Linked DNA regions of Styela clava. The protein of the gene in region 2 purifies or fractionates together with the protein of the main gene of each other region. This does not show direct contact. Links are inferred from orthologs where the notes say so. Each region holds a gene or a part of one and is shown on either strand. Other genes may lie near its edges.

Region 1 (7,450 bases), on a different chromosome or scaffold from region 2:
TCATTGAAAAAGGGTGGATTGCACATACATAAATCAAATCCATCATTTGCATCTTGGAATAAATGTAATAGCAAAGAAGTTGTAGCACTTTTGTCAACTTTGAGAACTTTTATCGATGACTTTAGTGAATTTTTTTCTATGTTATTAACAGCATTTTTGAAGTTTAAACTATCAATCTCAGTTGCAGTGAATTTCCAGTCTGGGTTATTTCTCATGCCCAGTAACGGATATATACAGGCTGACCCTGTGCCGATATCCACAATATGCCTTTGCTTGGTAAATTCCTGTGAAGTAGCATTCAATAAATCTTCTATCCATAGAATATAATTTAAACGAGATGGAACTGTAGGAGAAAGCCTATCTGAAGGAAGATCTACATCAAGTTCGAAGTCCTTATGTAATAAACATTTTGTTAATATTCTTACAACAGACGGAATTCGGAAATTTACAAATGCCTTTCCATTTGGATTGTATTTGACATATGGTTTAAATTCAGGATACTGTTTCGATAGTTCAATAAAATCTGGAGGATTATCTTTGTACCCATTCCTTGGGTGCATGTGTTTGTTCAAAGCCATAGCATAGTAAAGTGCATGAAATCTGCAAGAAAATATGAAAACTTGATGATTATGTAAATGCAAGAAATATAATCAATGGCGTGAAAGTAAAAAGATGTAGACAATCCATTACAGACATGATTTAGTCAGTTTCAACAAGATGAAGCTGATTTTTATGCAAAACATGGCATCTTGATGATAAAATCAAGATATAAGTTCAATTTCGCAACACAAAAGATTCACATTTCCTTTTGATAACCAATATACAAAATAAGATACTGTAAAGAACAGAATTATGCATTAAAAAAAACGATGGAGCCATTCCTACTTCTAGAAGCGAAAATTACTTTCCAATATACGACTATAAAATAAACTCACAATAGAACAGGATCATTCAGCACAAGATTTCATTTCAAATGTCTCAGAAATTGAGACTCCATTCTATAAAATTTTCACATATAGAAATATTATGAAAAAGTTACACAATCACACTATTTTAAAGACTCAGCGAAGATGGAACATCATATATACCCAAGATATAAAATTGTATCACTGCCTTCTGAAAACAAGTAAATCAGAACGCTAAAAAGGCGCTTATTATGGGTCTGACAAAATGATATCACCACCTGTTTGGCTTATTCAAGCATTTACGACGTGTACTTCTTTCGCCGCCATATTACTTTGTTATCAACCATTATTTGTCCTCGAAATTGTAAGTGAAACAATATAGTGCACAGATTTTTGATGATGGTCCCAATTTTGGATGTGTTCAGGAAGGTCGTGACCTATTTATTACTCATACCCAGCTTCGTCCGGATAGACAGCAGAGGGAGCAACCCTAGTCTTCTGCATCCCTTTCATTATCTTCATTATAATCTTCTACACGAACAGGTTGGTCTTCACTAAACTGCATAGCTGTATCAATATGCTGAAGTATTATATTAATGGATTCTTCATCAGATCTATCAAGTGGAAGAAATCTGACCATACTGTAATCGTCAATAATTTGACAAAGAGATTCTGTAAGTTTTTGATATTTTTTATCATGATATGTATCACACATGTCTGCTAAAAGTAGATTTTGCATTTCAGGATCTAAAAATTTTTGAAGATCTCGCTTTGAATGTTTTGAAAGAAGATCAACTTTGGTCATTACACTTAGATGTGTTATTTCAAGATTTATCATACAGGATAGCGAAGACAATGTACCTGATATGAATTTGCTTGGCTCTCCAAGAAATTGCGAATCAACGAGAAATACACCACAAGTTCGAAAGTCCCAATTTTGTAAATTTTCTACTAAAGTTTTCATAACAGGTAAGTGCGTGTATAGTTCAATTTGACCAGGGCAGTCAAATAGAAAATAGCTATCCTCTTCCATGTCTGTTATGAATTCTTTAATCCAGTCCATATTTTTAGCAAAATACTCCATGCAAAATACTAAGCCCCCATTAGGCCCAAATCGTAACTCTTCATCTTCCATCACATCATCCAAATGAATAAGTTCCCTGATATCCAGTTCGACAGGGTAATCAAAATATTCTGCAGCAGGATCTAAGTTTACAACATAACATTTCCGTTTTAGCACCGAAAAATGCTCCACCATCATTGAACAGTATGTACTTTTCCCACTTCCAGCAGGTCCCATCACCAATTGAGCATAACGTGGCATAGTGGCAATTTTAACTATATTCAATATCTGTATTCTAATATCTGAATTAAATGCGGCATTATGTTTCAAACCCGGCTGAGGATCCAGGGAGCTGTGACATTTTGGTGGAGCTGGAGCCAAGCCTAAAATGTTAGATGGAGCTACCAACAATTTCAGTGGCTCCAGCTCCAACCATCTAATTGTTTTTTAATTATTTATAAATTTCCAATACATCACACAAATAAGAAAATTTATCCTTTCCAGCTCATAAATTTTTAAACAGTACTTTATTTTATAATAGGCCTATTAATTTAAAATTTCAAGTTTGAAACCCTTATATTGTACTTTTTTCTTTGATGATAAATAAAATAATAATATAAATCATTACATACAGATGACACATAACAATTTCCATAATTTATATTGATCAGTTGTATCCACATGATAGCGGGTACTTCATATATCTGCATATCCCATTTGGTGTCATCATAGATTATATGTTCCATAATGCTGTAATGCCAAGTATCATTACCCTCTTCTAATTAATGCATAAAAATAAAATTTAAGAATTAGTTCCACTTCATTTTGGTAACAGATGTACTCATATTTACCTTATATATATTTGCATAATGAATCAAGTTCATCAGAATAATTGTGCGGGGTTGGTAGCACAGGTCATATCAGGGATGGCGAAATACGGTCTAATTTTGTTAAATTAGGGATGGCAAAATACAGTCGAAGCATGTCAGATTAGGGATGGCAAAATATGGTCGATGCGTGTTAATACGATCAGTCACAGCACTTCTTATAACGCTGTAATGTGTTGCCTGCAGATACCAGTGTAAAACAGCTTACAAAACATGTGGAATAATTCGCTAGTGAAGAATATAGAAAGTGAATTGTCAAAAAGAACTAGTGATGGAAAACACAACAAAGGAAGTAAGTATGGCGGTCGTGATATCAAACTTAATGTTAGTATCAAAACAAATACTAATAACACAGTGGAAAACGAAAATCTCTCACAAAAGTGAAAAAGTTGTGAAAACTAATTACCGGTAGTAATTACTTAAGCTGGGTGTAATGAAAAGCATAACAACCAAAAATTGATAAATATTAACAGGGAATGAATAAATAATTCTCGTGGAGCAATAAAATAGCAGTACCGGTAAATGTTTTCATGGTAACAAAATGTGTTCATCAGTACAGAAAATATGCATTATTCAACACCATCATCCATTGAAAAAAAGTTCTATTAGCAAGAGAAAGTGACAAATAAAAAAAAAGTATTGAAGAATAATGTACATACATGAAATCACATTTGTTTTTGTTTTTACGCCACTGCAATGCCAGCAAAATTCCAGCCAAATGTTTTAAACATTCTACCGGGTGTCATACCAGGGTGTGCCATGAATCGTAAAATGAGGAACAGAAGTTATATTTACATTTTTACAATATTCATCGTGGATTCATGGTAAATATGAATTTACCACTAAATAGAGGACTAATATAAGAATTTAACACGACAAAAAATTTTAGTGATTACCTGTGATTTTCCGAACTTTTTTGGGTTCGAATATTGGGAATTGTGCAAGAATTGAAAATTTTGGTAAAAAAACAAATTGATTTTTTTTATTTAACTTTTCTGGTCCCGGGGGCAAAAATATGGATTACCAACTGAATAAAGGACAAATATGAGAACTCACCGCGACAAAAAATTTTTGGTGCTTACCTGCGATTTTTCGAACTTTTTTGGGTGCGAATATTGGGAATTGTGCAACGATTTTGTTGAACTTTTCCGGTCCCGGGGGCAAAAATATGAATTTACCAATGAATAAAGGACTAATATGAGAACCCACCGCAACAAAAAAATTTTGATGCTTTCCTGCGATGCTTCCTGTGAAAACATTGGTGGGATACCCGATTTTTTTGAACTTTTCCGGTCCCGGGGGCAAAAATATGAATTTACCAATGAATAGAGGACTAATATGAGAACTCAACGGGCCAAAAAAATTTTGGTGCTTTCCTGCGATTTTTCGAACTTATTTGGGTTCGAATATTGAGAATTGTGGAAAAATTTAAAATTTTGGTAAGATTTTTTTGAACTTTTCCGGTCCCGGGGGCAAAACTATGAATTTATCAATGAATAGGGACTAATATGAGAATATAACGCAACAAAAAATTTTGGTGATTACCAGCCATTGCTTCGAACGTTTTTGGATTCGAATATTGGGAATATCCTGTCCACATTGATGTTTATTTTTTGACACGAAGTGGACCTATGCATCGTTACACGTTAGTGGATATAGCGATCGTTTTGCATTATTTTTGGACACCTAGTAGAAAACTTAAAAAGTCGCTTCTATCTTTGATTACTGGACCAATATCTTCAAAATTTTCAGTGGTTGGAGAATTCTATCTAGAAGGCCATGACTTTTATTTATTTCATATATTTCTGTTAGCTCTGTGGAATTCTTTTTTTCTTTGCTATGACGTGACCGAACGTTCTGCGAACGCACGCCACCTGATTCCGTGCTCGGCGTTTGCCGATGGATCTACTACTTAGCAAAAGTGGGAAGTTTTTCATGTCGAACGATGGACTGTGGTATTATTTTCGGAAATTGGCAAAATGCTCACGTGTCCATATATTTTTACGTCGCTATCTTGTGTTATTATGTTGTTGTCTTGTTTGATACGAAATGTACCTATGGATCGTTTTGTTACCATGATGTTCTTTATAAACCTTGCTTGCTACATTCAGCATTCCTCCCTGTAAAGCTTGCGTCAGCTGCGCCATTGCATGAACAGTGTGATCCGGCGTACCATATTCCATCTTGGTATGGCTTCTTATAGTACCCGGTGACTCAATCTTAATTTCATGAGCTGCTGACCTGTTTACAGGTTCGACTTTCCAAGTGCAGGTTTAAGTATTCTGTGGGGTCTGCAGCTGCCGCAAAACCATGACGATATTTCCATACCATGGCCGCTACGGCCAAACCTATGGCGACTGACTTTTTAGCTGCCACAAACCAATGACAGGCTGGCGTTACCGCGGCAGCAAATTGGAAACCAATGGCAGGTGAAATTTTGCTGCCATAACCACGGCAGGTGGGCCGTAAAGACAGGGCTGTTCCTTATGGTGACAAAAATTGGGTAAGTTGGAACGTTTTCTTATGGATACAGTTTTGATGAATTTAGGGTTAGGGTAGGGTTTAACTTTAAGTAGATATTATTCCGCATGACCATTTGAAATCTGGTACATTAATTTGTGAATATACCGTTAATACTGATTACTGGATAGCGCTATAAAACCATGGCAAGAGTTGCCGCGGTTCGTTCGTGGCAGGAGCTGCCATGAAGTGGTAAGAACTGCGCCTCCAACTTTCGGCACTTCAGTTTGAACATTTCAAACTTCAATGGGATTCGAGAGAATAAGATGCTGATTTGTACTTGCATCAAATCTATGATCATGCATAATATCACTCAAAAATTCTTTGCAGGTGACAGAACTTGCTTCTCTTTTGATAAGAATGGAACGTTTGGATCCAACATAAATCCTTTATCATCATTTGCCATAGGAGTAAAAATTTGCTGCAAGATCTTATTTGCTTGCTCTGGATCAAAGTCCGACACATTTGAGGGTTTCGTAGAAAGCGTAAGTGACGTACCAGCCACATCATCTTGATTTAAGAACTTCAAATGCAGGGCAGACACTTTCCATAATTTTGGGGGGGCGAACTTGGACCGCCTACCTAAAAACACCGCGCCGTGTATCGTCACGTAACAATAATCTGTCGATGTCATTCTGTAAGTATTAGAATGTCATTTTGCTACTCATATATCGAGTACCTAGGATGCTTCGCTTAGACACGGACCTTGCGCGTCACAGAGCCAATTTCTTGAATTCCGCGAGAATTAGCCCACGGCCCTTGCTACCAACAAGAAAATAACAAATTTGAGGAGTCGTATTAGGTTATTGTTTCTATTCCTAGTTCTGCATAAAGCGCACTAACGCCGTTTCGTAAAATTCGAATTGCAAAAGTCGGAACTTCCCATTGCCGTCTGCAACAAGCACCGTGATTACGCGCCCGTTAAAAAAGCCGCCTATTTAAGCCTATAATGATTTTTCTGTCGCGTAAAATATTCAATCCATGACAGCCACGAGATTCTAAAATGTCCTTATATATTAATTTATTTGTGTACAACGTAACTCGCGTTTGCGACTTCTTACGTTAAAATAAAAATATTATCAAACTAAAGTAACACGGCGATATGTGGACATAAAAATATGAGATAAGCTGCCTGATGTATTTAATTTTGATACGTATTTTTCCAATCTTCCGAACTCGTTATCGCCGTTACAAAAATCTCGATATCTGATATAAAATCCCATATAGTACAAAATTTTGTTCATACAATGAAAATAATTATAAAGTATACTAGTAAATCAAAAATATAATTTCACCGCCTCGAAATCCACGTGGAACAGTCGCCACTAGTAAAAAGAGTCGACTTTTTCAACGAAAAATGATTTTTCACTTGTGCAAAGTAATCAATCAAAGACCGATACGGGCATATTCAAAATGTCTTGATTTATTAATTTAATTGTCTTCAATTTAAACTGCGGTTGAGTCGACAAAACAAGAGCCACTCTAAAACACCACGGCAATCCGCAGACATAAAAATGTGTGGTAAACTGCCCGTTTATATATTGTTTTGATCCGTATTTTTGCTATTTTGCGAATTCCATAAATTTGAGATGTACTTGTAACACTGGCTCCGCTCAATCGCAATGCTGTCACTCCGATTATTTTTAAAGATAAAACCTTTCGAAAAATCCGTAAATTTTCTGTCAATTCTCACGTAGTAAAAGTTATTTCAGTACAATTAAAATACATAAATAAATATAAAAATTGATCGAATATACTTTAATTATATTATATATCATCACAAACCGACTTATATTGTAACTTAATGTAGAGTTAAGAGGTTCTACAGGTCTTATTTCTGCTTATTAGGCTTGTCAATCTACTTCCGTTTCCGTAGCTCACTCTCGACACAGTAGTAACGCACACATAAACACATCCAACTTGTATGAAAGAACTTGTAATGAAAGTATATGTACAGTATATACAAGTCACAGTCCAGTAAAATTCCACAATCAGGTAAAAGTTTCACAGTAGATAGATGGCAGCAATGTTCCCTCTAATTTTTTGTAGTATGTGTGCGCAGAAATTTTAGTGTG
Region 2 (7,542 bases):
TTCCGATGTCCGCCATCTTGGTTCGCATACTTCGGGAGCACCAAAAAAAGATCACAACTGCAACGAGGTCTAAAAACTTGAAGACATACGAACCCCCTGTGAACTTCAACCTTACTCAATTAGGTGGCATATGACAGACATTTAGGGTTCTGTTAATAATTCAAGTTATTATGACAATAAAAAAAAATATTACAAAGGTCTAAACCAGGGGGCCGGCAACTTTTTGTCGCTCGCGGGCCAAAATAAAGGGTTGCAAGTCATTGGCGGGCCGCACATATTTTTAGAAAGTTGAAAGCCGAATGGATGATACTTTTTATAATAAAAATCAAGCAAGGATACATCTCTCGAATAGAATATAGATTTATATCTTCATTGCATTGTGTCTCAAAATATTCCAATTGAATATTGTCGGCGCCATTAAACCCTTTACACTCAGCTTCACCTTTCTTCGTAATTGTGAATTTTATACTTGTTAGATTATAATATAATTTAGTCTACACACCTCTCACAATAAATTATGTTGAATAAAGAATATATTCGTCAAAACAGCTGTTTTGTTACTATGATTCAATGAAACCTCGAAGGCCGGATTATATTACTCCGCGGGCCGTAGGTTGCCGACCCCTGGTATAAACACTTGAGGACATTCACACCTTCTTTAATCTAACACATAAACAGTTCCATATTTGAATGACCAAATTTATGGCAAATATATGAATACACTCTCAAGTACTACTAATTTGACATGTAAAATTTTTAAGTGCATAGTTATGATATGGACATGGTTTTGTTCAACAGCACAACTTTTCATATTTAGTAACGCACGCAAGTAAAAAAAGATTTAATTTTAAATGGATAATTTCAAACAGAGTATGCACAAAACTTTGTATATTAATAGAGGCTAAATATAATAGGCCTATGCGATAATTCTTTTTGTTCCAGTATCTCACAATCCCTTAGCATTGGTCGCTCGTGACTGCCCTTATGGACCGATATTGATTACTTTTGAGTGTGTGCACGACTTTGCTTTGAGCAAATTTCTTCGCAAAAAAACAATACTTTTTTGAGTGAAAATACTCTAATTTATCAATATGTTACATCAGAGATAAAATCAAATATATTTTCAAACATTCGATCAATATTGGCCATTTTAATCCCAAGCATATTATCATGTTACTGTATATTTATAGAGAAAACATTAATGATCTGAGAGTTACATTTTGCCCTCGGGGTCAGAAGACAACGTGGTTTAGTGGTAGAATAGACAGCTTGCTAACTTCAGCAAATGCTGATTATAGCAATGGAGGAATTTTGATTAAATGTATTGTGAATTAGTGAATACACTCTACAAATCTGTGTTTTCGTGAATTCCATTTTTTGACATTGGATTTCTTCCAAATATCACAGCACTGCTATACCAATCTAAAATACCAAGCTGTTCTGACATGGAAACCTAAAATTTTTACGGAAGCTATTCCTGATTGAAAAAAAACATAATGAATATATCAAATACAAAATAGATGAATTTTTTTAGGCAAACTTCAATTACAATCTCTTTGCATGATCAGTATCCATTAAACCTGTGTTTCCAAACCTATGGGTCACCCCAGTAGTGGGATTCAATTTTTTTGTCAGCCGGTTCCATCGCAAAAGTCATATTTTTTAGTCGGTTCTGTTACAAAAAGTCATTGACAGTAACCAGTAGTGCTAACCGGTTCGCTGATCTCATCAAATTCTGCGAGACGGTTTTATAGAACCGGTGCGAACCAGCTGAATCCCACTACTGGTCACGATCCGAAACTGCGTCGCCTAAAAATCTTTTTGGGCCATTCGTTTTTTCAACAGAAATCTAAAAGTTACTAATTTTATTTTATAGTAAATTTTATTGTTTATTTTATATTGGGTATTGAAGTGTTGCTCAATAGTAATTGTATGAGTGGAGTAATTGTATTGTGAGATACTAGGTTTCAAAACCACGCTGAGGGCAAACTAGCTCAGCTTTTTCACTTTGTTTTATATCAGTCATTCCATTTTTGCGGCCACATAGTATTAAAGTGATAAGTAAAAATAACATGATCTCTTTCAACGAATTAGTAAGTATATTTGTGAGCTTTCGTTAGATCATGGTCTAACTTCTTCAAACAATACAAGATATAACTTAATAACAGCAATAATCCGAAGTAGAAAGTAAACAAGGAGAAAGGACCTGCAGTTCAATACACAATATCCAAGTTCCCTACATAGTATTACATGCCATTTAGTATTTGCGTCGAGAGATCTTACAGAATTTATTTTTTAGAAAATTTCGAGCCGCTTGAAAAAAATGGGTTGATAACCAATGCTTTAAACGATACAGTGGGAAAGCTGTATCATTGGTCAAATAGCCACACCCATGTCCGTTTCTATCATGATCTGGAAAAAATATTCAAAGTCTTGAAATAACGATTTCTGGACATTTTATTGCTTCCTAAAGCTAGAGCAGTGATAGGCAACCTCCGGTTCTGAAAACACCTGCTATTTTGTTCTCGGATCTGGACCCCGTTAATCAAAGTGGCTACAGAAGTTCTTAAGTGTCAAGGATTCAACGAGAATATCGGTCAGCGACCGAAGACTTATCGATCGAAAGTTGTGGGATCCCCCAAAACAGCGCTCTTACTCCATAGTGACACCTTGTGTCCCATCACTAATTAATCAATAACTCGCTAATCATACGACATAATTCATCCAAAATCAATAGGCTTCTGATCCAAGGTATGATGAATGCATATGCAAAATTTGGAGCGGATTGATCCTCGCTTTCGTGAGATATCGCGTGTATCTAACAGACAAACAAACAGACAAATACCTATCAACATACTTACCGATCTTAAGATCGATAAGTAATGAAAGGCAGAGGCATAAAACTTGCGAAAAAATACAAATCCTACCTTTTTCATCAAAGTAAGAGCTGATAACAATCCAGCAAGCTTCCTGCCATAATTCAGGCGAGATATCCTCTTCATCTTCCCCATCTCTCAGTTCAAGGTCATCGTCTTGAAACATCCTGGTTCAAAGGTTGAAGGTCGTTGCAATGAAATGATTATTGTATCGGCGTATTTTAAGCTAGGTTTTATTCTAAGCTACAAAAAAACAAGCGAAAAATTGAATAAGCTGTCTTGTGAATGTGATGTGTGAATAATATAGAAATTTGTGACTGAAAGTAGGCGAGGCACCTGTTAATGGATTTATAACATAATTTGACACAGAAAAAATAAAACACCACACTGTCAAAGAATAGCTAGGTGGAAAGGTCGTAGACAGAAAGTTGAGGGTGTTAACCCACATTTCTCTGCCTCTGGTCAGACCCGCAAGCTTGACAATTGGAAATTTCAGGAGCCTTCCTCTCTGAAAATCCCTACTTACAACCCCTGTTAAAAGGTGCCTCTCCTACAAACAGCAATGTTAAACCAGATATAAATACAATATAGCACAGTAAATTTATTTGTGAAAGTTCGCAAAAATACAGAAATTGAATTAAAAGGTCTGAGTTTGATTCGATGAAAGGCCATCCCCGTCCCTGGAAAAAGATCTACATGACATTATTTTCACTGTGGGGCCACAAATAAACATAGATAAATGGATACTTGAACATGTGTAAAAAAAAAACTATATTGACAGCACGTTATAAATGTCCCAAAGAACACATAAATGACATTGCCCAGGTGTGTCTGCATTGACCAAAGGATCCCAAACTTTTTTACATTAATTAAAATTCTGTTGAATAAATCACAGCGTATTGAAAAGAAAATTCGACTTTGTTAGAGTTCGATCACTGGAAGGAAAAGTTTCACAATATTTGCACATCAGTGCGATACATGTTTTTTTTTTCATGCACATAAATGGGTAGTCCCGAGGTATGTGAACCAAGATGGCAGACACCGGAACGTAGTATGTGTACCAGGTTAGGGTTAGGCAACGCAAACAAATTTAGTCATATATAGCCAGTCGAAATTTTCTCACGGTACTTTTAGTTTTAACAGATTGCATCATTTTGTGTTCAAAATGCGGGCGGATAAGAGAAGAAACCACTGAAACAGGCAATTCAAAACATCGCATAATTTATATCGCTTACTTCTCACTGGTCTCACATTTAATATTAGATAACAATGTTCGAATAGTTGTGTAATATTGAATACATTCCATAAATTATTGATGTTTCCATATCAGCACTTAGTTTCAAACTAAATTCCTGAACATTCAAATTACTGACACTTAAAAAATAATACACCACTCTCATAGGAACTTATATAAAATACACCAACCTACATAATAACCCCCAACCTAACCTTACCCGGGCTACTCAACTTGTAGATCGCGTCCTGGATCCAAAGCTAGTCGAGAAAGTGCGCGTTGATAAAGGCTGTTAAACTATAATTTCTGGAAAGATTGGACACCAATAATTTTGAAGTTTTGTTTGCGAATCTTCAGTGAAAACAGTTGAGTAGCCCTGATTTAACCCACAAATACGGCGTGTTCATAAAGGTCCTGTTACCATTTTCAATTTTGTTATGAATTCAGTTCTCAGTATATCTTAACCGGGCTTGTTTTATTTTAATCAGTGTTTTATAAAGTTATTTTACTTCATTTATGCACCTGTATGGCCAACAAACTATAAATGGTATCGATAAATTCCTTTTGCAATTTGAAAACATTTTTATGACTTTATGAACACCCTACTGTAACATAATAAGGAAAAAGTAAACATAAATTAGAAATTCATTTACGAGCAAGAAATCAGAATGGCAATAGATAAGGAATCAGTAAAGTACAAAATGCATTTGAATGAAATTTTCGAGTCAAGTAAAATTTTGTCAAATAATAAATAATCGAAACCAGGGACTCGCCAGAATAATTACCTCCAAACAGAATAGGCCTGATGCCGCAATTTTACACTTCAATGATTTAAAGATGATATTTTATCTAGAAGTACTGCAAGTATTTCACTAAGTCAAGTTAAATTTAGTTTTTCCAATCAGCGAAAAATCAATGGAACAAATTATGAGAAAATATGCTCAATATTGTACCGGAGAGTGGGAGCCGCGACGAACCGAAGCTGGGTATAATAGACACCTTGTGTCCCATCACTAATTAATCAATTACTCGCTAATCATACGACATATTTCATCCAAAATCAATAGGCTTCTGATCCGAGGTATGATGAATGCATATGCAAAATTTGGAGCAGATTCATCCACGCTTTCGTGAGATATCGCGTGTAAAATTGGAAGCTGGGTATAATAGAGCAACGACACCTAATTTCCCAATTAAAAGTAGAAAAATTGGGAACTAATGAAATCGGCTTACACACGCATAACTCTGATCGCGCTAAACGGTTTGACAGTGATGATAAGAAGGATTTTGAGACACTTCTTACCGTTTTTAATGAAAGCAAAACATAACAAAAATGGCTATAATTTTCATTAATTCTCTCCTGCAACGTTTTGCCGTGATAGGTGGTGTGAGTTACGATTTGTACGGTAGGCATTTACGATGAATTTTATAAACTCATCATTTTAGAGCCGTTTTCAGGAGGCATCGGCTTATCTGCAAAGATATACGTATTACTGTATTTCGCTATTATCAGTGACTAATAGTTCTTGGTAGAGTTTAAATCAAATAGCCATCATTCCATTAGATTACCTCAAAGCAAAAGTGCTCCTGCAGTGCAAGCAATATACATGTTTGAATTATTTGGAAATCATTTTTCAAAATAATAAATAGATTCTGTGTCACATACGTAGGGGTGAGTGAAAGACATCAATAAAATAGAAACACAAATAAAAATTTGAAAATAGCAAACTACACCATCTAGTGATGGCTATTTTAAATTAAATTTATACGATTATTCATAGATGCTAATTAAGAATTCAAGAACAAAGATAAAATTGTGGAAACATCAACAGTGCGACAAAATTATAAATTACAGCAAGAGCACATACATCAAGCTTTTTATTGAAAAACTAAGCTGGGACTCCATTCATCTCTTTGGAAGGGGGTTAACTAAACAACTTTGGGGTAAATTTTGCAGGAGAGAAAAGGAGAGGAGAGAGGAAATTTATACTTTTCGCTACTAATCAAATTTCCCTCTAGAGTAGGGTATCCGGGGTAAATTTGTCCTCTAGGGAGAGGAGATTCAATTCGCCTTGGGGGTTAATTTTGCTACATAAAAATATACACTTTTCACTACTACACGCATATACTACAGCATCTCTTAGAAATAGAAATAATCTTTTCCTAGAGCAGGGGTTCTCAACTGAGGGTAAAACTCGACTTTTGGGATAACTTTTGACTTGCTTTGGGGGTGAATTTTCGCTACTGCATGAATACAAATTAAAGAAATCTTCCCAGGATGAAAGTTCTCAACTCTGGTTAATTTCATTACTGAGAAAATCCACACTTTTTGCTACTTCGCAAATAGAGTGTACCGGTAAGTAAGAAATGACAGTAGTTTCTGATTTTATCTTCCAAAATAATCAGTGTCAGTTGTAAACAGTTTTAAAATTCAAATTTTTAAAGTAGAGCAAATATAAGTGTAGTGATGAATCAGTTTTAGTTAAATTGAGGTACAATAAAAAAATTCACACAAAAACTTTGAATTGGACAGTTTTAAATTTTATATGAACAGTCGCATAAATGAATCTATTTGCAGATGTTTTTGCGCAGTATGAAAAGTTATTGTTCCACCATTAGGATACGTTGGACTAGCAAAGTATTGAATAACATAAGATAAACAAAAAGTGGGGCAATGGAAATTTCCGCCAGTAGGGGTTAATTTGTGAAAGTGAGTCAACGGGTAATTTGAATATTGTCCCCACTTTATGAATAATCATCAAAAAATTTATAACATTTATAAACCCCCTAATATCATAAGCCTAATGAATGAAAAAATTTTTTGAGAACAACATGGATAAAGAAAACTTTGTCAAATAAATATAAAGCAATTTTACGTGAGCAAAGGTGAAAAATTTGAAAGTCTGAACTCTGAACATGGATGAAAATCGATTACAAACAATATTTCAAATTATTGATTTTCATTTAAGTTTGTTGCTTTAGGCAATTGAAATACAACAATGGCCAAAGATTAGACTAATTTTTTAATTGTTCTGTGATAAATTTGTGTGTAACTTCACATTTTTGTATTGGCATATGGAGGGCAATAATGATTTGTACAATTTTGTAAAGGGGCAACGGTATATAAAACTACTGCTCTAAATTATCTATAACCCAAGAAAAAATATGTTCGTTGCCAAATGTAACTTTTCAAATTCAACATATATCCTATTCTAAATGCAGAATCAGGATATTTTAAATAAAACAGCAACTTCCATTATCTAATTTTCTAAAAAAACACCTTCTTTGAATTACATTTCTTTTCCAATTTTTTAGATGTTGAAAGTCATCCCCTGATCATTAGAGCGTAAAAATTGTAAGCATCAATTACGGCACAGTATATTTGCTAAAATAGAGGAGTTATGTGTAGCATAGTACAAAATTGGAATTTAA

Evidence for each region.
Region 1: the proteins of DNA-directed RNA polymerase II subunit RPB2 (region 2) and GPN-loop GTPase 3-like purify together in Homo sapiens (co-immunoprecipitation; 3 studies listed by BioGRID and IntAct, counting the BioPlex papers as one, with this or other methods). This does not show direct contact. The link is inferred for Styela clava from reciprocal best matches to the Homo sapiens genes POLR2B and GPN3.

What each region holds. Positions count from the first base shown.
Region 1 is NC_135263.1:14,651,853-14,659,302, reverse strand, and holds GPN-loop GTPase 3-like, read right to left. Parts: upstream 2,454-7,450; 5' UTR 2,230-2,453; coding exon 1,396-2,229; 3' UTR 600-1,395; downstream 1-599. Other genes in the region: RNA N(6)-adenosine-methyltransferase METTL16-like, read right to left, coding at 1-578. UniProt on the Homo sapiens protein: Small GTPase required for proper localization of RNA polymerase II (RNAPII). May act at an RNAP assembly step prior to nuclear import.
Region 2 is NC_135255.1:20,506,792-20,514,333, forward strand, and holds the start of DNA-directed RNA polymerase II subunit RPB2, read right to left. Parts: upstream 3,067-7,542; 5' UTR 3,043-3,066; coding exon 2,928-3,042; intron 1-2,927. UniProt on the Homo sapiens protein: Catalytic core component of RNA polymerase II (Pol II), a DNA-dependent RNA polymerase which synthesizes mRNA precursors and many functional non-coding RNAs using the four ribonucleoside triphosphates as substrates.